Arabidopsis thaliana: one gene and its partners. The protein of the gene in region 1 interacts with the protein of each later gene in a pairwise test. Each region holds a gene or a part of one and is shown on either strand. Other genes may lie near its edges. The genes, in order: GH9A1, CESA4 and CESA6.

Region 1 (5,634 bases):
AGTTGATCAGTGGTGGCATATCAGATTAGTAGTAAAACTGTAACATTAGTGTTTGAATTGTAATGTAGCACTTAGCAGGATGTTCTCAGTGAAGAATAGAAAGGGGAAACTTCGGAAAGCCTGGGATGGAAGTAAGGTTGCTTACAACGTAGCGTCATGGAGCGCAACTGTTATAGGGTATAATATCATCTAGTCATCTTCTACATTGCAAAATCTAATAGTCCCATTGTTTATCGTTCTCACCAAGCATTTTTATTTTGTTCATTTCACCGACAGGATCTATCAAAACCCCGTGATCCTGAGGGTTGCATCAAAGGCCTTTTGGGCGTCATGTCATGTAATATCGAAGCTCGTTTGATTGACGATGACGCCTTCTCGAACACATCTCGCCTGTGTACTGTGATAACAGTTTAATTTGGGTTTCTCCATGATCTCTGTGAATACAACTTCATCATGTATAAAGAATGCCATATGTAATTCCGTTCTTTACTGCAATATTCTTTCTGCATCATCGTTTATATCCATTAAATGAGTAAATGCATGCTAGAATCACGTATTTTAGTAGACTACAGTTGTTATTCCAGGTTGATCTCACACTTGCACAATAAAACATAGTTAAAAGTTTAATACAGTTCATTAAATTGTTTATCAAAGAATACAAGTTTGGTATCAAACATATACAGAGTAAAACGCATAGATATATATGATATCTCACAAGAACAAAACAGCAACCCAAAAAAAGAAAAGAAAGACAATGCTTGTGGTAAAGTAACCCACCCCGTGTTTGTATCTAGTAAAGCCAAATGAAATCCTTAGTAGTTTGGTTATGGCTGACTTGTGTTTAGCTTCTAATCTTCTGGTCTCACACCCAAATCCTTCTTACCTCATTCATTTTTTTTGGCAGCAGCGACAGAATCACACAAGTCTAGCTTTCTCAAGGTTTCCATGGTGCTGGTGGAGGTGGTGGAGTAGGGAACAAAGGAGGAACAGCTGAGAAAATAGTGTTTTTGTCTATCTTACCGGTGGCTTCTTCTTCACCCGATAATGCCACAAGAGCTGCGACTAGACCAGCATTGCCTGCAAGAGTCGGTTCAGTGTAGTTGTAGTTCATACGGACATCACGGTACCCGTCGCGCTTGTCAGGACCAGCAACCATGGCTCCTTCAATCGTGTTTGGGTTTGGTTTCTTGCTGTCTCTCCATTTCCATCCTCCTTTGCAGTTATACTTGACTTTGTTCTTGGGTATCGAAGCTCCTCTGTGATGCACATGTCTTGGGTATTTTGTGCCAAAACCAACGACATAACTCATTTTCCGAGGGTTTTTACCCAGTATATAATCAATCTGCCAAAATACAGCAAGGCCGAGTTAAATCCAATTTAGATGTCAAAATAAAAAATGGAGTTTAAAAAGATCTTCGTACAATCTTGGTTAAAAGTGTCATTTTTGGATCTTATCCATTACTATATCTGAGATTACCATTTCTGTAAAGAGTAAAGGAAAAGAAGCAATACCTGGGATCTAGCAAAGTCACGTAGCACACTTGTCGAATAGAAATTAGGTCCACAGTACCATCCAGGAGTATCAGCAGCATCCAGATAATCACTGTATAGAGTCGCTAAGAAAGCTGCATTTACAGAATATTGCAGCGGCTGTGGAGCTCCATGATTCAACTCTATTAAACCTCCTGCACATACCAAAGATTTCATTTTAGATATCTGAAACAAGAACAAGCCCCACAGTTGGAGTTTTATTAGAGGCAGACATTAAAGCTGGAAGGTAACTAACCATTGGTTCTGTTAAATTTGTTGAAAATAGGCAAGTATGAGCACATGACTATGCTGGTCTGATTGTGGAAGGTCCTTAGAATTTCTTCATATGGATATCCAGGACTCAGAAACAACCTCAACCGGCTCAACAGCAACTAAAATCGCAAAAGGGATTCAAAAGAGTCAAGAGTAGTATGGTTAAGGCAAATGATCAAGAAGACATGAATATCTAAGAAACATAAACACAGCAGGTTGTTATGTGTGGACTGACCTGAGCACCAGCAAGCTTGTTGTCCCAGCTAAATACACCATAGTAAGGGCCACCCCAGAAGGCACCAGCATGCTTGGCCATAGTAGGTTGGGTGATTAGATTGAGATACGTTACATTTCCGGTAGCATAATACATCCAAGCACCACCCCAAATGAACTCATCCCAATACATACTTGAATTATAGAACTTGCTAGATTCCGCAGTGCCTGCACTATATCTCCCTCTCCTCGTCCTTCCAAACTGATACACCACCTTAGCACCATGGACAAGCTTTTTAGAATATTCCTTGTTATCCTTGAATACAATAGATGCTGAAGCCAGAGCAGCTGCCATCTCTGCAGCGAGATCCGAACATCCACCATTACAAGTAGTCACGGGCCTTTTATAGTCCATATCCTCAGGTCGCATCCAACAGTAATGGTCATTAGGATCTGTATTTCCATCATCAGTATTCCCTGATCCAACCTACATTAAACATGTAACGAGTGAACAAACAACTCAATATGAAAGATCTCCTACGAAGGTCATAAACAAGTACCTGTGACACAAGATCATCAATGGAATCAGCAGTACTATTGAAAGTCTTGAGAAAGTAATCAGTTCCCCATTTGATAAGCTCCTTAACATGAGTGAGCTCACCAGCAGCTTCGTATTTAGCACTATATTCAATAACACTCCAGCTCAACATAGTCATAGCATAAGCCATGGGGAAATTGAACTTGATAGCATCACCAGCATCATAATAACCTCCCACCAAATCTTTATAGAAGCTTCCTGTTTCACCTTTCCCATCTTGAAGCCCAGAATTACCTCTCCATGACACGTTATTATGCTTTGGCAATTTCCCAGCTACAACAATCAAAATCAGACTTAGATCTAAAACTCTATATCTAAATTTTATCAGATCTAAGTAGATTCTACACTTACATTTCTGAGCATTGAAGAACTTAAGAGCTTTGTGTAGAGCTATAGTATAATTATCCGGCGGCGGAGTCTTAGGATGATGACGCGGCACAGTTTTAACGATCAAGGTAATGAATCCGGCGAGTAACGCGGCGGCAACAAGAGTACCAACAGTCCAGACGAAGATCTTGCGGCTAACGATAATACAACCGAGATCGACGTACTTCTTCTTCTTCTGCTCCGTTGGACCAAGTAACCAACTCTGCTGCGTCTCATCTAGTGGACGTGAAAGAGCCGCACGATCCAAATCGTTTAAATTCCGACTACGATCATCGTCGGTGGCGGAATCTGCAGTGTTTATCTCCAATGGACCTCCCCATGGATCTCTTCCGTACATGATGATGCTCTCTGATAAAGCAGCAGAGAACAACAACAATGAATCAAAGGTTTGGGATCAGATCTGGAGAAGAGAAGAGAAGAGAGAAAGAAGTAAAAGTGTGTGGAAGTGAAGAAATGTGAAGCTAAAAAGCTCTCTCTAGTCAATAATGTACAAAGACTCTTTGAGAGATCTGGTTTTGGTTTTTTACTCTTTTTTTTTTTTCCTTTTTAAAACTCACTTCAATTATTTTGTTATTATATGTTTTGTTTGGTTTATTTGTACATGTTACGTTACAGCTAACTCTAATTTTGGAATAGTATATTTTTGGCCAACTATGATTGAGCGTTTTGGCCAACTTGTAATCTTGTGTATTTATTTTTCATACAATTAAAATTTGTCGGAGACATTAAAATATTATTTTTTATGCACCGTTTTTTCTAACAAAAAATTGCATATACTTTGTTTACTAGTAAAGCAATGGGCTAATGTCGGGTGGATGGAAAAAGACATCTCCGCTAATAAACTGTCGGTGGGATGATAATTTTATTTTATCCTTTATGATTATGGTGTTTTACACGTCATCATTTCTGGTGGGCTCTAAGTAATGACATAATTTTTAAAAAAAAATTATAACAAGGAAGGTTACTTAAATTCTACTTCTACTTGAAAATGATAGTCTACCACAAAATTTCACTTACATTTGTTAAAATTTAAAACTTATAAGATAAGTGTGTCCGACAAATTGATGGTAGATCAATGACCTAAAAAAAAATTACATCTTGTGGTCATTTTTACGACTCTAATCCCTCACAGAGTAAGTAAGGAGAATTATGAGAATCTAACTTTTAATTTGAAATTAAATACATTCGTAATTATAGAATCTAATCCCTCATATATATATGAATATATCTCTACTTTAAAAAATTCCGAAAATATATGGGCAGCTATGTAATTATAGGACTTATCAGCTTGCATTTAATTAATATTAAATGTCCAATGTAGAAACACCAACAAGTGTAGAACTAGAAACCATAGATGCTCATACATTTGATTTCTACTTTATACATCGAAAACTGAAAGATAAACATACACATATCAACCATAGCTGTTTCCATAGTACATACTGACAGAGATTACCTAAAATATATGCATCAATTTGTCTTCGAATTTCCTTCCATAATGTTCTTTGGCCTTGAAAGCATCGTTAGAGATCGAAACTGTGGCTGTTGAAGTGGAAAAGAGGATGATTCGCCGATCGCCAGATGCTATGTGACCGTATTTCTTTGGCTACGGTCGTCTGAAGAGTCGCTGGACCGCATACTATCACTCCAACATCCACACTCCCCCATTTCCCATTCAATGACTCAAATATCTCTGCAATTACAAAATAAAAATATTACATGAACCAATCAAAGATTTAACTTAACCGAATCGAGCCAAATATCTACACCAAAAGTCGGATTCAAGAACCGAACGAAACCGTGTCAAACCGTTCCGAATGATTTCAGTTTCTATAATTTTATAAATAAAAAAACGAGATAACTGGACTTGACACCGCTAATTTTGTAGTGTATACCTCTAAAGGCCGGTCTGGTGCCATAACGAATAGTGGTGTAATTCTGGACATCTTCTTCTATTGCCAAGCCCTTAAGCTCTGCTGCAGATGGATTATGGGTTTCTTCTCCATTCAAATCTACCTTGTCGTTGCCATTTGCTTCCACTTCACCGGTTTTGTGTTCCCAGCGATGCCAGAAAACAACCACAAGACCTCCAAAAATCAAGACACTTGCAACCATACAACCAACAAATAGAAGTCCCTTGTACCACCACGTTGTTATGTTGTATCTTTTTATGTAAAAGATGTCCAACAATGTGATCATTGAAATAAATCCAATGGTGGATATAATTAGATAGAGTCCAGACCATATGTTATCCCCTGTACCAACTAGTACCGACATAGAACATCCGTTGGTCCGTGGTAGCTTGACAGAAGGATGCACCACCTTGTGAACCATCCCATCTTCCTGTATAACCATGAAACATTAAAGAGTTCAACAAGCTTAGTAAGGCCTATTGCAGCTCCCAAAAGACTTATTTAAGACGTACCAAGCGAGGCTCGGATTGTCGAGTGATATATATGTGAATCTCAAGGTTTAGTTTCTTAGAGAAGAAAGGGCAAATGGAAGGTATGTCAATTGCTGAGAGCAGAGAGAGCTCGTCTGAGTTTTTAATGGCCCATACAACTAAAACCTTACTAGGTAAACAAGCTTTCCCATCTCTTTTACGGTGTAGGATATCGCTTAAGATGGCGAAA
Region 2 (7,456 bases), 2.5 Mb from region 1:
TCTTTCAACTTGGTTATCCACATCACAAACCACGACCAGCGGTTGTAGCAGTGTTGAAACCACAATGTCCGAGAAGAAGAAATACTCGAAACTGGTTCAATGCCATGATGAAAGACCTATATTGGGCGCGTTAACTGCAGAGGAGATAAAGCAGTTCTCAGCTACGAATTCGCCAAGGAAATCGCCAAGTAGAAGCCCTGAATCACCGATAATTGGAACAGTTGGTGGTTACTGGAACAGTCACTCAATGGCAACGAACAAGTACAGTCGAAGTTCTTAGAACTCCAATTCCACAACAGAGAAAGAATTCCACACATGTTTGGTTACTACATTGCCTTTGTGAAATTATTTTTATCACTCTGTTTGTTTGTGTGTGTGTGGTTGATAACAAAATCGTTGTGTTTTGTGTGTGATTTGATTTAGTAATATTCATTCTATTTGTTTGTATTTTACAGAAATTTGTCTACTTTATTTCACAAGTGAATCAAAGTTTTGTATTTTTTTTCCTCCTTACAAATCCATATAATCCAACAAAGAACACCCAAATCGGAAAAATAGGCCAAGCAAAATGGCTCAAAATAGCGGTCCAAAACGAAAATGCGGTTCCTCATTTAACAGTCGACGCCACATTGCTTCAGTAACGGACCAGTCTGTTTCGGCAAGAACGGATCAATCCGAACCCAAACCAAAGAGAAGATCGAAGCGAGAAGGATAGACCAAAGAACAACAATCGTCGGTGTTCGGTTTTGTCTACCCATCAAACCTTTGAGGAAAGGATAAAGATGAACAATGACCCAAAACGCGAAAAACAGTTTCCCAAAAAGCGGTCCCCAAGAACCATATCCATTGTTAATAGCGTCAGAAACTCCGGCAACAACACCGACCATGTTGAGAATAATGAGAGTTGTCGGAGGGATGAGAAGGGTTGTCCATTTAAAGAGGTAAAGATCTCCAAACTCATCGGCTTCGTCACTGGCTCCTTTTGACGTGACGGTGAAGTTAGTGTCAACACCAAAGAGAACTTTAAGAAGACCTTGAAAGACAGCGAAGAGATGAGCTGAGACACCGCCAATCACCCAGAATTGCTCGTTACGCCAGAGGTCATTGATGCTTACACCACTCCACCGGAGTTCTAAGATAGCCGTTGCAATGATTGATAGGAACAGAGCTAAGAACCATATGCTTGCGAAATTGTTGATCTGAATCAAAAGAGAGCAAAAGGGTGTTAATAAAGTATAATCATTTCTAATTGTCAAAAAAAAAAGTATAATCATTTCTTCGATTTTGTGACAAATACATTTAGGGTAACAGTGAATTTTTATATAACTAAGGGGTAAAAGAGTTAAATATTTGGAATTTAGGATATAAACTTTAGGGGTAAGAGTGCAAACTTTTAGGAGTTTAAGGGTTAAAAAAAACTAGCCGTAGGATTGATGGAACTGGTTTCTAAAATATAGTCGCAAAAGAAGTCTCTTATAAACGTTTGGGTAAAATAATTATTTTTTCATGAATTATGGTTAAAGTGTAAAAACCATTAGGAGTTTAAAGTATACATAGATCATGAGCACTTACCGTAGGAATGATGAACTTGCCGGTGAGAAGACAAACGGCCGGAATAGTACAATAGGCAAGTAGAGGAATAGAAGTGAAAGGATAAACAATTGTGTTGATGTAAGCAAGACGTTCTAGAATCTTAAGCTTGCCTCCCCAAGCATACCACAAAGGACAATGACGACTAAAGAAGATTTCGACGGAACCAAGAGCCCATCTAAGAACTTGGTGCAACCGATCAGATAAATTGATCGGAGCTGATCCTTTGAAAGCTGGTCTTTTAGGCATACAGTAAACTGATTTCCAACCTCTACAATGCATTCTAAATCCAGTGAGGATATCTTCTGTTACTGATCCATAAATCCATCCAATCTGAAACACAACAATGAAACATAGTTCAAAAATCAAGAGTCAAGCACTAAAATCCATACTCAAATCAATATTAGTATTAGATAACAGCTTTTTGGTTATCTTTCTAATTTATATTTGCAAAAGAAAAAAAGGATTGATTAAACATATATTGCAAATTGTAAAATCAAAATAACTAGTAAATCAAACTTTTTATTTAGTCAATCTATATATTCTACAAAACAATTATAACTAGTAAAATTCAATTTAGTTGATGAATTCAGTCATTTAAATTCGCGAGTTACGGATAAATATTTAAAAATGTAAACTAAAAATAAAATAAATTTTCGAGTAATATGTGGTTGACAAAGGAAAAAGTTTTTGATTTTATTTTAATCTTTAGAAATTATAATAGAAGTTTATTTTATTTTTGTTTTTTTTAAACTAATGTTTTGAAAATTAGTTTTTATTATTATTTCAAAATATTTTTGTATTACTTGAAAGTTATTTTGTTAATTGTCTTACTCTTAGCAATTCTGCAATATTAGGAATTCCACACTATAAAGTATAAATATGATTATTTACCTCTTTGCCCCATTCAGTCTTCTCTTCATAACCACAGCTAATAACATGAATAGCTTCTTTGATCAACGAGCTCGTGTTCGTCGCCTCCGGCAATCCTCCGTTCTCCATCAACGTCGACGCAATAAACACAGGAGACATTCCAAATCTCTTCTCAAAATTCTTCTGCGACATTAACGAAGATTTCTCAAGCTCATCATATCCTTCAAGCCCTTCCTCAATATCTTCCAAATCAAAAATCGCCTCCGTCGATGATCGTTTTCTACTATAGCTGCTCATCGTTTTATCATCACTCTTCTTCTTAGTCTTCTTCTTTAGTTTCGAGAACAAGCTCTTGATTCCTGATTTCTTCTTTGACGAATCTGATTTGTGATTACGGTTACCTCCGCCGCAACAACAGCAGATCCACGACGGCCAACAATCACATGTCATTTTCTTTCGTTTTTCCGATACCGGAGGTTCGTATCCGTATAATGCTGGTCTATTGAATACACATCCTGTTCCTACATAGACTGGTCCTTGGATTCCATCTAAGCCTCTCATGTTTATCTGTTATAAACAAAAATCAGATTTAAGGGTTTTGAATTTTGAATTCGGGGGTTTTGCTAATGAAGACTTACATCGAAGAAGACGATGTTTCTGTTGGCGTATCGATCGTTAAGATCGATTCCGTCGAATCTTTGTGGGAATTGGACATAACAGAGCTTTTTACCAAGCTGTGGATCCATTAGAAAGCACATTGATTCTCTTATGGCTTTACTGTTGTTGATGTAATGGTCACAGTCGAGATTAAGCATGAATGGAGCATTAGTGAGTACTGCAGAGACTCGAACCTGCGACATCACCCGAAAACAAGTTAGATTTGGTTTCTTAGTGAGCTTTTGACTGTTTGATTTGCTTTGCTTTGCTTACCATTGCATTCATGGCTCCAGCTTTCTTGTGGTGTGCGTAACCAGGACGCTTCTCTCTTGATACATACACGAGACGTGGCAATTCGTTACCATCAATGTCGAATGCTCCTTCTTTGCCGAGATACACCTGAAAAAGTTGAATCAAAGTAGTTGGTTAGATCCAAAGGTGGAACCTTTGATGGTATATCGTAACCGTTGGGATTTGAGGTTTTCGTGGTGACCTGAATCATCCCGGGATGATCACGAGTGTTATTCCCAGGCCATGGTGTACCATCTTGCATAACCCAACCTTCTTCAGGCTTCTTTTGAGCTTTAGCTACTAAAGCATTGATCCTCACTTTGAATTCTTCATATTCTCTCTGCAAAACACTGACAAGTAAGTAAAGAAGATATGTTCTGTGGTTTAAAAGTAAGAGATCTTTCTTCACTGACCTTCATTGCTCTGCGATCTTTGACGAATGTAGTTTGGACTTTATCCTTTAGGTAATCAATCTTCTCTGAGAAGTAAAACTCTGGAGCTCTTGGCTCAACATTGTACTTCTTGCAAAACGGAACCCATCTCCTTGCAAACTCGGAAGTTTCGGACAATGTATCGAACAGGAGCATTGATGCACCGTCATCAGACACATAGCAGCTCACCTTATTCACTGGGTAATCAACGGCTAAGATCGAAAGAATTGTGTTGGCTGTGATTATGGGAGGTTCCTTGAGCGGATCCACTGTACTGACAAACACATCAACCGGTGCAAGCTTGTTCTTTTCCCCATCCCGTTCAAATCTCATAGAGAGACGGTCAAGGTAGGTTTCTCGGTTAATCGGAAACCATTTCGGGAACTGATCAAGGATCCAAGAGAGAGCGAACCAGATCTCGCAGATGACTGAGATAAGCCAGAGAGGGTATGCGTCTTTGGCTGGTGTCAAGATACGGAAACGGAAGAAGAAAACTAAGATCACAAGGCGAAGAACGATCACGATGCGGTAAGGACTGATTTTGCTCGAAGAGATTGGGACTTTTCTCCAGAGAGGTTGTCTTGCTTCAGCATCTCTGTAAACAACAAGAACTCAGTTACTTACGCTTCAAGTCTTTAATACTTGAGATAAAAGGAAAAACAGATTTTTGTTTATTACAGGTATTCTTCTTCATCATCTTCTTTGTCTTCGTTTGTTTGTTCTCCTTTAGTCACTAAACCTCTCTTCTCTTGCCTCGCTTTCCATTTATCTACACGTTCTTTCCACTCCGCATCTGTGTAGCCATCTCTCTCAGCTTCAAAGTCTTTCCCCAACACTTCAAATCAAATCATACAGAAACAGGTCTCAAATTTTGCGTTTGCACATCTATAGGTATTTACATATTTCACACATATTTTCTATTTATACCACTTCCGGTGGAAGAAAAGGCTCGACCATTTGGACGCCATTGCTGCTTACTGTTGTAGTCTCCATTTTCCTGCATTACCGAGAAAATACTCAGAATTTGATCCAAATGGGAAAGAGAGACTATAAAGAAAAAACATGAATCAAAGTCAAATAGTACCGATCCATAGGCAAAATTCTGGTGAATGGAGGAACCATCCTGGCGATATTTGATATTCAACTCATCATCTGAATCATCAGGACCATTGTTTTCTTCATCTCCGGCGATTTTTGGAGAGCCTTCAAGCAAAACAATTCACCAGTATGAGAGTCAAGCTAGATATAGTTTTGAGAGGAAAACAGGGTTTAAGTTAATCTACCTTTGTGGCGTTTGTAAAGAGTGTTGCATTGAGGGCAACATTTGTTACCGTTGCTACGCTCATATTCATAGCAAGGTTTGCAAACCGGGTAAACGCACACGTGACACGCCACAAAAGTCTGACCATTGTCATCGTCTTTGACCTCATCGCCACAGACTTTGCAAATCTTAGCCGAGAATGAGGAATGACGATGCTGCATCCACGAAATGTACATTACGTTGAGATTTTAATGTGAATCCAAATGAAAGAATTTGGTAAAGAACAAAACCTAGGAAACAAGTTTCGGTTTTGTTTTCTCTTACCTCATCGTCGAAGCTGGCCATGGTGTTTGGTTCCATGGCGAGGTACACTGAGCTCTCGGAAGCAGAGCAGAAGGTGGGGTAGAGAAATGTATGTGACTATGTGTTTTGATGATTGAAGAGATAAAGAGGTAATATAAGGGTAAGATGTTTGAATTTGTTGTGAAGAAAACTGAGGTTGTACCAAACTGTGAGTGAAATTGGGTCTAAGGTTTGTGTCATAAGAAAGCTTCAAGAGACAGCAACAAGATTTGGTGGAAGAAGGAGACAGCTCAGTGTAGTTAGTGTTTTTATATAATTTAATTGCTTGAGCTTCCAACTTCTACTGTTTGTTATTCTTTTGAGTTCTTTAGAATTTGTATAACTTAGAGTAGCTTTCAAGTTATTATGTATTTCTACTTTAGTCTTACTTAATATTTTGTATCTTATAAACTTTACCAAATCTGGCTATGTTCTTGAATCCAATCAGGTAGAGAAAGAGAAAGAGGAGATTATATAACAAAAGCCCAAAATCAATTTCACAAAGGCCCAAAATGGTAATACAGAAGGAAAAAAAAACACAAAGATGATCATGGTTCATGCATGGATCATAAGCATTTGAATTGGTTATATAAACCAGAAATGAAAAGAGGGAGAGAGAAAAAAAAGACTCAAGAATCAGAATGAAACTCTGATCTTATTGTTTTGTTAGTAAATAAGATTTAATCAGGCGACATAGTAGATGGAGTTAGGGAGCTTGAAGGTTCTCTTGGGAACTGGACAACCAGAGAAGCTGTTCCATTGTGCACCCATCACTCCCCAAACTCTGTACCCAAGACTTGTAAGCCATGTCCTCAAATCTGCTTTGTATTGGCTCACACTCTTCTTTTCATCATCTTCTCCCCTGCATAGGTTTGATACTTTTGTTATACTTGGCTCATTATGTTATACCAAAATGCTCGAATTATATTGATTGCTCATAGATTTATATGGACCAATGCATGTAACATAATCATAACCCGAGTTCAAACTCGATAAGAACTAGCTAGATATGATAAAGAATTCCACTATTTTGTCCCCAAATTAGACATAAATACCTATTAATGTTTTAAATATGATTTCACAACCAACTCTTTAATTACTATCTTTTCTTTCTTTACTAAACTAAACAAATTAATGACACAACCATAAATGCTGAAAACATCTTAAAGTCTCCAAAACCTTAAATAACTTACCTAAAAGAAACTCAAATAGCTAATGTTTGTTTTAAATAGATAAATTTGGTTTTTAGGGTTTTTATTTCGATTATGGTCTATAGTTCTTTGTGTTTAGAGAATAAATGAAGTCAACAGAACGACAAAATTTATCTGAAGTGTTCTAGTTTTACTTTTTGATTTGGTGAAATTAGAATTTAAATTTCGGTTTAATGCGGTTATTAAATATGATTCGAACCTCAGAAGGAGGTTAGACCAGCTGTGGTAACCGGCTTCAATAAGATTTTCGACGGTGGCAGATCTGAGATACTCTTTACGAGAAGAGATCAAAAAGATCTTGAAACCTCTCTCTCTGATCTCATGGTACAACTTCACCATGTGTGGAACCGCTGGTGCCTTGCCCGAATTTTGCCATTCCTCGAACTTGGTCGTGTTCAGTTGCTCACCACTGTTTCAAATCAATGTAACATGTCAATCCCGGTTTCATTCTAAACCGAATTAAAGCTAACCAGAAAACAAATGAAATGATTAGAGGTAGACATTTAAACCCATCTAAACCAAAATTCAAGCCAATTTTTTTTTATGTGACATAATCATTTTTTTTTGTTCAAATATAATTCGGATCTTTAATATCCATAAATCAAACCAAAAACCGAATCAAGGCTAATGTATATGGTTAAGTTTAGTTTATTTACCCGAAACAACCGTTGCTCTTGTGGTAAGGAATGGTTGAGAGAAGAGTGTCATCAATGTCAAAGATCCAAGCATCCATGCCATCGCATGTCTTCTTCTCGCAACAAGTTTTTCCGAGGTAGAGGATGGCTTCATCGACGGCTCTC
Region 3 (7,765 bases), 5.7 Mb from region 1:
AAACGTTTTTCTATTCTATAGTCTTGAAAATTAAAACAATATTTACTAGGAAAAAGAATAATATAAGGGCACCGACAGTTTCTATAAGAACATGTGGCACGAGGGCTTGGAGAAGACAGTACACAGCATTCAATCAATCATGAAAACGACATTTGATGTGGTAACCTACTAAAGTTCGATCTTTTTTTATGAAAGTTTCTTAATATTTCTTTAATTTCCGGACTATATCTATCAACAAGTCAAAAGATTAAAAAAAATCAACAAGCAAAATACTGTTAAAATATTGTTTTATATATACCACGAACTATTTGTCGGCAAATGTATACATATAGTATAGACATCATACATGGGCAAATCGCATATATTTGTGTGATGTGATACCATAGTCTCAATAATTTGAACATTTTTCTCTTATTTAAGCACGGAGGAAAAATTAGCTATATGGCGACTTGGCGAGTGGAGCCAAGATTAAAAAAAAAAAAAGCATGTTATTTAAAAATATGGTAGACATAACATACAAAAAAATATAGTAAAATAAACAGAACTGATTGAACAAAAGAGAGTGATCAAAGTTGAAAAATAATTTAACTATAAAAACTAAAAAGAAAATTATCAGAGGATGGAGATATTAAACTAATAAAAATGTAATTAAATAAGTAAACTATAAATTAAATAAGTAAAAAATTAAACGTAATTAGAAGGAACAAAAAAAACTAGAAAAGTAAAAACATAAGAGAGGAAGGAGGGAAGCAAAAGTGAAAACCAATGCAGTCAACAGTCAAAAACCATGATACAGTCCATGCGTAGAACATAATTAACTTAAGCAATAAATTTAATAAGTAAAAAATTAAACGTAATTAGAAGGAACAAAAAAAAAGTATATAAAAAATTAGAAGGAACAAAAAAAAAAACTAGAAAATAGGATCTTGGACACGATGCTTACAGATTGTTTTTTGTCTGGGAAGTAAATGCCCATATCTGTTTCTCGACATTTTGAAGTCTCTCTAACAAAATAATTAGAGGAATTAAGAACTTGATTGTGTAACTTTTTTTTTAATCTTAAATTAAGATAATACTATTTCATTACAACTATTATTTTCTTGCACATGTTGCAAGAACGTGAGAGTGTACGCAGACAAATAATTAAAACGAAAATAAAATTATAATGATTATATACAATCTCGGCTATCAATTGATTAATAGAGAAAATTGACTAACCACTCTGAATTGGCTCAAAATGTAGTTATTAATTCAAACCGAGTTTCACTTCATTTATATTATTTTCATTTTTTAACTTTAAAATATATATATTTAATAAACCAAATATGATCTAAACTAAATCTAAAAGGCTCCATCCAAAGTAGATTTGATTTTACTATATATTTAAAACATGTATGGTAGGAAAATTTAACCGAAACCAAATTAAACACATTTTAGGGTGAAGAAAATCACCCAAAAAAAAAAGGTGACTTTTTTTTGTAACAAAACAAAAGACCTAAAGTTTAGAGACAAAATAAAATGTTAGGGTGATTCAATGCATCACATAATACAGTATTGTTAATAATTAATGGCTAATAATAATGTGTGTTTGGAAGTTTTTACTAATCTCTTCTTTACAACAACAAGTGGAGTGGAAGAGAGAGATACACACAAGGTTTAATGGGTCCCACATTCTTTTACTTCTCAAAATTTAATTACTAATTTTATCTAATTTTGGTGCTCTTTTTCCTCATCTACATAATTGCCTTTAATTATCTCACACCATTTAACTAATCACTGATTCTCTTCTTCCTTACGCGTTTGTACTTAACCCCCTTTTATCATCATTTCGCAGGCTTGCGTCTGTCTCTCTCTCTCTCTCCACCATTGACTCTCTCTCTCTCTCTCGCTCTGGAATCATCCTTTATTTCTGTGACTGTGTGCACTTTCAGAGAGGAGAGAGAGGCCCAAAACCAAAAGAAAAGAAAAGGTTGTGGCTTGCAGCTGAATCAATACCATCTCCATATATACAATACACCTTCACTATTCCCCCTTTTGTATTTTTATTATATTTTTCCCATCAAAGTCTGTTTTTTTAGACTCCGGTTTGCCGCTTTGTGTGTGTGTGAGAGAGAGAAAGAGAGCTATCTATCCTCTGATTTATGGTCTCTGGATCTCTGACAATCGAGTTGAGTTAATTACAACACATTCCTCTCTTTCTCAATCGATCTGTGAAATCCAAGATTGTTAGCTGTGTCTGTTTTCAGACAAATATGAACACCGGTGGTCGGTTAATCGCCGGTTCTCACAACAGGAATGAGTTTGTCCTCATTAATGCCGATGAGAATGCCCGAGTATGTTTCTCCTCTTCTTTTGTTTCCAATTCTCTGTCTTTTGATCTGTGTTTCTCTATCTCTGTTCAAAAGTCTCTGACTTTTTTTACTTTTCTTGTGGATCTGGCTCTTACCACTGCAAATCAATTAAGATTTAGGGTTTTTAGTACTAGTATTAAGATTACGTACCCTTGTAGCTAATTTTATCAAGAATTGATTGTGTCGGTGGGATGGATTTTTCCGGATTTGACTTGTCTTAATTCTCCAATTTAAGAGATTTCTTCAATTGCAATTATGAATCTATCAATGTGAAGAGTAATAATTATGTTATTGGGTTACTTTGATCTGGTGTGAGATCCAGTCTGATAGTGTCACTACTATGATCTGATGTATTTAACTCTACTGTTTTGTGCAGATAAGATCAGTCCAAGAGCTGAGTGGACAGACATGTCAAATCTGCAGAGATGAGATCGAATTGACTGTTGATGGAGAACCGTTTGTGGCATGTAACGAATGTGCATTCCCTGTGTGTAGACCTTGCTATGAGTACGAAAGACGAGAAGGCAATCAAGCTTGTCCACAGTGCAAAACCCGTTTCAAACGTCTTAAAGGTTCGTTGTTTGTTAGACCAAATTTCTTTGGTTTTTTGTGAATGTAGAAGATTTTCTGATTTGTTCGGCCTATGTTGTTGTTTGTTAGGAAGTCCAAGAGTTGAAGGTGATGAAGAGGAAGATGACATTGATGATTTAGACAATGAGTTTGAGTATGGAAATAATGGGATTGGATTTGATCAGGTTTCTGAAGGTATGTCAATCTCTCGTCGCAACTCCGGTTTCCCACAATCTGATTTGGATTCAGCTCCACCTGGCTCTCAGATTCCATTGCTGACTTACGGCGACGAGGTAAAAATCTCAGAATGTATCCACATTGTATAACCCATCTTCAGTAATTGGCTCACTCAGATTTCTCTTTTGTTTTATTACAGGACGTTGAGATTTCTTCTGATAGACATGCTCTTATTGTTCCTCCTTCACTTGGTGGTCATGGCAATAGAGTTCATCCTGTTTCTCTTTCTGACCCGACCGTGGCTGCACATCCAAGGCCTATGGTACCTCAGAAAGATCTTGCGGTTTATGGTTATGGAAGTGTCGCTTGGAAAGATCGGATGGAGGAATGGAAGAGAAAGCAGAATGAGAAACTTCAGGTTGTTAGGCATGAAGGAGATCCTGATTTTGAAGATGGTGATGATGCTGATTTTCCAATGTAAGGCAAAGAATATAATTTTTTTTGTTGATGTCTTGTTCCGTTGCAGTGATATTTATCAAGCCTTTTTTTTCCATTTTAGGATGGATGAGGGAAGGCAGCCATTGTCTAGGAAGATACCAATCAAATCGAGCAAGATAAATCCTTACCGGATGTTAATTGTGCTACGTCTTGTGATTCTTGGTCTCTTCTTTCACTACCGTATTCTTCACCCCGTCAAAGATGCATATGCTTTGTGGCTTATTTCTGTTATATGTGAGATATGGTTTGCTGTTTCATGGGTTCTTGATCAGTTCCCTAAATGGTACCCTATCGAGCGAGAAACGTACTTGGACCGACTCTCATTAAGGTACTTACATCTTGTGGGTTATTACACTTGGAAATGTTAAAACTTTGTTTTGGGGATATAATCCTTATTTTTTTTGTTTGCAGATATGAGAAAGAAGGGAAACCGTCGGGACTATCCCCTGTGGATGTATTTGTTAGTACAGTGGATCCATTGAAAGAGCCTCCGCTTATTACTGCAAATACTGTCTTGTCTATTCTTGCTGTTGATTATCCTGTCGATAAGGTTGCTTGTTACGTATCTGATGATGGTGCTGCTATGCTTACTTTCGAAGCTCTTTCTGAGACCGCTGAATTCGCAAGGAAATGGGTTCCTTTCTGCAAGAAATATTGTATTGAGCCTCGTGCTCCCGAATGGTATTTCTGCCATAAAATGGACTACTTGAAGAATAAAGTTCATCCCGCATTTGTTAGGGAGCGGCGAGCCATGAAGGTTACTAGTTCTTACTTTTTTATAAATTTGATTTGATGAGAAAAGTTTTGGTCTAATTGATTCTTGCTTTAGAAAAAAAAAATTCATGAGAAAAGTTATCAATCTTTTGTTATATGGGCTCTTATGAAAGAAGATGGTGGCTTTGAAAATTGATTTGAAAGATTGTGTGTTTTACTGGTTTTGACAGAGAGATTATGAAGAATTCAAAGTAAAGATCAATGCTTTAGTAGCAACAGCACAGAAAGTGCCTGAGGATGGTTGGACTATGCAAGACGGTACACCTTGGCCCGGTAATAGTGTGCGAGATCATCCTGGCATGATTCAGGTGAGTTTCAAATGCTTCTTATTTCTGAAAAGCCTTCTTATGTGTTGTCCTTCAAAATTTAATTATACTTTGTTTTCTTGTTAAAGGTCTTCCTTGGAAGTGACGGTGTTCGTGATGTCGAAAACAACGAGTTGCCTCGATTAGTTTACGTTTCTCGTGAGAAGAGACCCGGATTTGATCACCATAAGAAGGCTGGAGCTATGAATTCCCTGGTAAATGATATACTTTTTAAAGCTCTAAACCTTCTTCTTTGTAAATTACGTCTTGCCATTTATTGAAATGGTTCCTGACTCTTGATTTCATCTACAAAACTTTTGTTGAAGATACGAGTCTCTGGGGTTCTATCAAATGCTCCTTACCTTCTGAATGTCGATTGTGATCACTACATCAACAATAGCAAAGCTCTTAGAGAAGCAATGTGTTTCATGATGGATCCTCAGTCAGGAAAGAAAATCTGTTATGTTCAGTTCCCTCAAAGGTTCGATGGGATTGATAGGCACGATCGATACTCAAATCGCAATGTTGTGTTCTTTGATGTAAGTACAGCCACCACTTTCCTATTGTATCCCTTTTTCTTGAGATTTCTGTAGAATACCAACTAATGAATCTTTATTTACAGATCAATATGAAAGGTTTGGATGGGCTACAAGGGCCTATATACGTCGGTACAGGTTGTGTTTTCAGGAGGCAAGCGCTTTACGGATTTGATGCACCGAAGAAGAAGAAGGGCCCACGTAAGACATGCAATTGCTGGCCAAAATGGTGTCTCCTATGTTTTGGTTCAAGAAAGAATCGTAAAGCAAAGACAGTGGCTGCGGATAAGAAGAAGAAGAATAGGGAAGCGTCAAAGCAGATCCACGCATTAGAAAATATCGAAGAGGGCCGCGTCACTAAAGGTATCATACAAATCCTGTTTGTTGTTAAACTCTTTCGTTAGTCGGTGCATTTTACTAAAAAAATAAAATTTAAAAAACATTCTAGGTTCTAACGTAGAACAGTCAACCGAGGCAATGCAAATGAAGTTGGAGAAGAAATTTGGGCAGTCTCCTGTATTTGTTGCATCTGCGCGTATGGAGAATGGTGGGATGGCTAGAAACGCAAGCCCGGCTTGTCTGCTTAAAGAAGCCATCCAAGTCATTAGTTGCGGATATGAAGATAAAACTGAATGGGGAAAAGAGGTAAGCAGCCGGTTTTAAACCTTTGTTGTGTTTATTCAATCAATTCTTGATTTTGATGATGACCTTGTGAAAAAAATCTCAGATTGGGTGGATCTATGGTTCTGTTACCGAAGATATTCTTACGGGTTTTAAGATGCATTCTCATGGTTGGAGATCTGTTTATTGTACACCAAAGTTAGCGGCTTTCAAAGGATCAGCTCCAATCAATCTTTCGGATCGTCTCCATCAAGTTCTTCGATGGGCGCTTGGGTCGGTTGAGATTTTCTTGAGTAGGCATTGTCCTATTTGGTATGGTTATGGAGGTGGGTTGAAATGGCTTGAGCGGTTGTCCTACATTAACTCTGTGGTTTACCCGTGGACCTCTCTACCGCTCATCGTTTACTGTTCTCTCCCTGCCATCTGTCTTCTCACTGGAAAATTCATCGTTCCCGAGGTAAAACAATCATCTTGAGTTCTCAAAATATGAATCTTTATTTCACGTTTTGTGCTTATTCATTTTCCTTGCCACTGGGGGTTAAAAGTATCATATGAATCTTTATTCCAAGTTGTGTGTTTTAAGACCGGAAAACGATTCTTGTTCCTTCTTTTTCCAGATTAGCAACTATGCGAGTATCCTCTTCATGGCGCTCTTCTCGTCGATTGCAATAACGGGTATTCTCGAGATGCAATGGGGCAAAGTTGGGATCGATGATTGGTGGAGAAACGAACAGTTTTGGGTCATTGGAGGTGTTTCTGCGCATCTGTTTGCTCTCTTCCAAGGTCTCCTCAAGGTTCTTGCTGGTGTCGACACTAACTTCACAGTCACATCAAAAGCAGCTGATGATGGAGAGTTCTCTGACCTTTACCTCTTCAAATGGACTTCACTTCTCATCCCTCCAATGACTCTACTCATCATAAACGTCATTGGAGTCATAGTCGGAGTCTCTGATGCCATCAGCAATGGATACGACTCGTGGGGACCGCTTTTCGGAAGACTGTTCTTTGCACTTTGGGTCATCATTCATCTTTACCCGTTCCTTAAAGGTTTGCTTGGGAAACAAGATAGAATGCCAACCATTATTGTCGTCTGGTCCATCCTCCTGGCCTCGATTCTTACACTTCTTTGGGTCCGGGTTAATCCGTTTGTGGCGAAAGGCGGTCCTATTCTCGAGATCTGTGGTTTAGACTGCTTGTGATTCGATTGACCGGTGGATGGGTTGGTGAAAAAGGTTTAATTCCCACGGATCAAAGAGAGGTAAGAGAGATATTGTTTTACCTCTAAAAGACTCCTTCATTGTGTTCATTAGATGATGAAAAATGAAAAGAAAAAGAAGATTTAATTTTGTTACGAGAATTGTTATTTTTGCAAGAATGTGTTGTAGATATAGAGATGAAGAAGAAAGTTGTTGTCTATTTGTTTTGTTCTTTGGTGGTGAGAGAAAAAAGATTTGTCAAATTATTCTTTAATTGAATATTTCTGATCTCTTTTGAATATTACAGAAGAGCATTTTCAATCTGTAATCTTTTATGATTAAAGAACTTTGATTTATTTTCACTAATTTCCCTATCTTATTTCTTGTTTGAAAAATTAATTTACTCGAGGTTTGATTGGTTTTGATTTTCAATCCGCATGCTTGGAGACGTTTTAAAGCATCCATTAAAAATGTTACCAAACCTTAGAAAATTACGAACTTGATCAGAGTGGCCCAAAACAAATTATACAGGCCCAATACAGGCCCGAATCTACACAGCCTTTTACACTTTTATTGGTTCTGTTTTGACAAGTGACATGGTGCTTTCATCATATCTGCAGAGGGCAGCACTCAGATTGGTTAGTCTTTTTGGTTAGAGAATTTTGAAAACTTTTTTGTTTCTCATTTGTAAGTGTCACTACGCAAAGTAATTTAATATTTTTGTATCGTTCTAGTTT

Evidence for each region.
Region 2: the proteins of GH9A1 (region 1) and CESA4 interact in a two-hybrid assay, tested with the Arabidopsis thaliana proteins (one study listed by BioGRID).
Region 3: the proteins of GH9A1 (region 1) and CESA6 interact in a two-hybrid assay, tested with the Arabidopsis thaliana proteins (one study listed by BioGRID).

What each region holds. Positions count from the first base shown.
Region 1 is NC_003076.8:20,196,831-20,202,464, forward strand, and holds GH9A1 (glycosyl hydrolase 9A1), read right to left. Parts: upstream 3,639-5,634; 5' UTR 3,339-3,638; coding exon 2,966-3,338; intron 2,888-2,965; coding exon 2,577-2,887; intron 2,504-2,576; coding exon 2,039-2,503; intron 1,923-2,038; coding exon 1,787-1,922; intron 1,686-1,786; coding exon 1,513-1,685; intron 1,343-1,512; coding exon 935-1,342; 3' UTR 561-934; downstream 1-560. Other genes in the region: AT5G49710 (RING finger protein), read left to right, coding at 69-177, 277-358; FRO6 (ferric reduction oxidase 6), read right to left, coding at 4,525-4,694, 4,897-5,344, 5,427-5,634. UniProt on the Arabidopsis thaliana protein: Required for cellulose microfibril formation. Involved in cell wall assembly during cell elongation and cell plate maturation in cytokinesis. Required for secondary cell wall formation in the developing xylem.
Region 2 is NC_003076.8:17,712,720-17,720,175, reverse strand, and holds CESA4 (cellulose synthase A4), read right to left. Parts: upstream 5,787-7,456; 5' UTR 5,464-5,786; coding exon 5,428-5,463; intron 5,319-5,427; coding exon 5,126-5,318; intron 5,046-5,125; coding exon 4,770-5,045; intron 4,678-4,769; coding exon 4,521-4,677; intron 4,490-4,520; exon of another isoform or gene 4,438-4,489; coding exon 3,825-4,437; intron 3,752-3,824; coding exon 3,614-3,751; intron 3,520-3,613; coding exon 3,394-3,519; intron 3,315-3,393; coding exon 3,102-3,314; intron 3,031-3,101; coding exon 2,485-3,030; intron 1,924-2,484; coding exon 1,573-1,923; intron 1,200-1,572; coding exon 612-1,199; downstream 1-611. Other genes in the region: AT5G44040 (eisosome SEG2-like protein), read left to right, coding at 1-280; AT5G44020 (HAD superfamily, subfamily IIIB acid phosphatase), read right to left, coding at 6,130-6,307, 6,856-7,065, 7,313-7,456. UniProt on the Arabidopsis thaliana protein: Catalytic subunit of cellulose synthase terminal complexes ('rosettes'), required for beta-1,4-glucan microfibril crystallization, a major mechanism of the cell wall formation. Involved in the secondary cell wall formation.
Region 3 is NC_003076.8:25,879,303-25,887,067, forward strand, and holds CESA6 (cellulose synthase 6), read left to right. Parts: upstream 1-1,730; 5' UTR 1,731-2,252; coding exon 2,253-2,333; intron 2,334-2,727; coding exon 2,728-2,923; intron 2,924-3,011; coding exon 3,012-3,214; intron 3,215-3,297; coding exon 3,298-3,575; intron 3,576-3,657; coding exon 3,658-3,924; intron 3,925-4,007; coding exon 4,008-4,353; intron 4,354-4,540; coding exon 4,541-4,678; intron 4,679-4,764; coding exon 4,765-4,890; intron 4,891-5,001; coding exon 5,002-5,214; intron 5,215-5,297; coding exon 5,298-5,574; intron 5,575-5,659; coding exon 5,660-5,856; intron 5,857-5,938; coding exon 5,939-6,289; intron 6,290-6,449; coding exon 6,450-7,031; 3' UTR 7,032-7,426; downstream 7,427-7,765. UniProt on the Arabidopsis thaliana protein: Catalytic subunit of cellulose synthase terminal complexes ('rosettes'), required for beta-1,4-glucan microfibril crystallization, a major mechanism of the cell wall formation. Involved in the primary cell wall formation.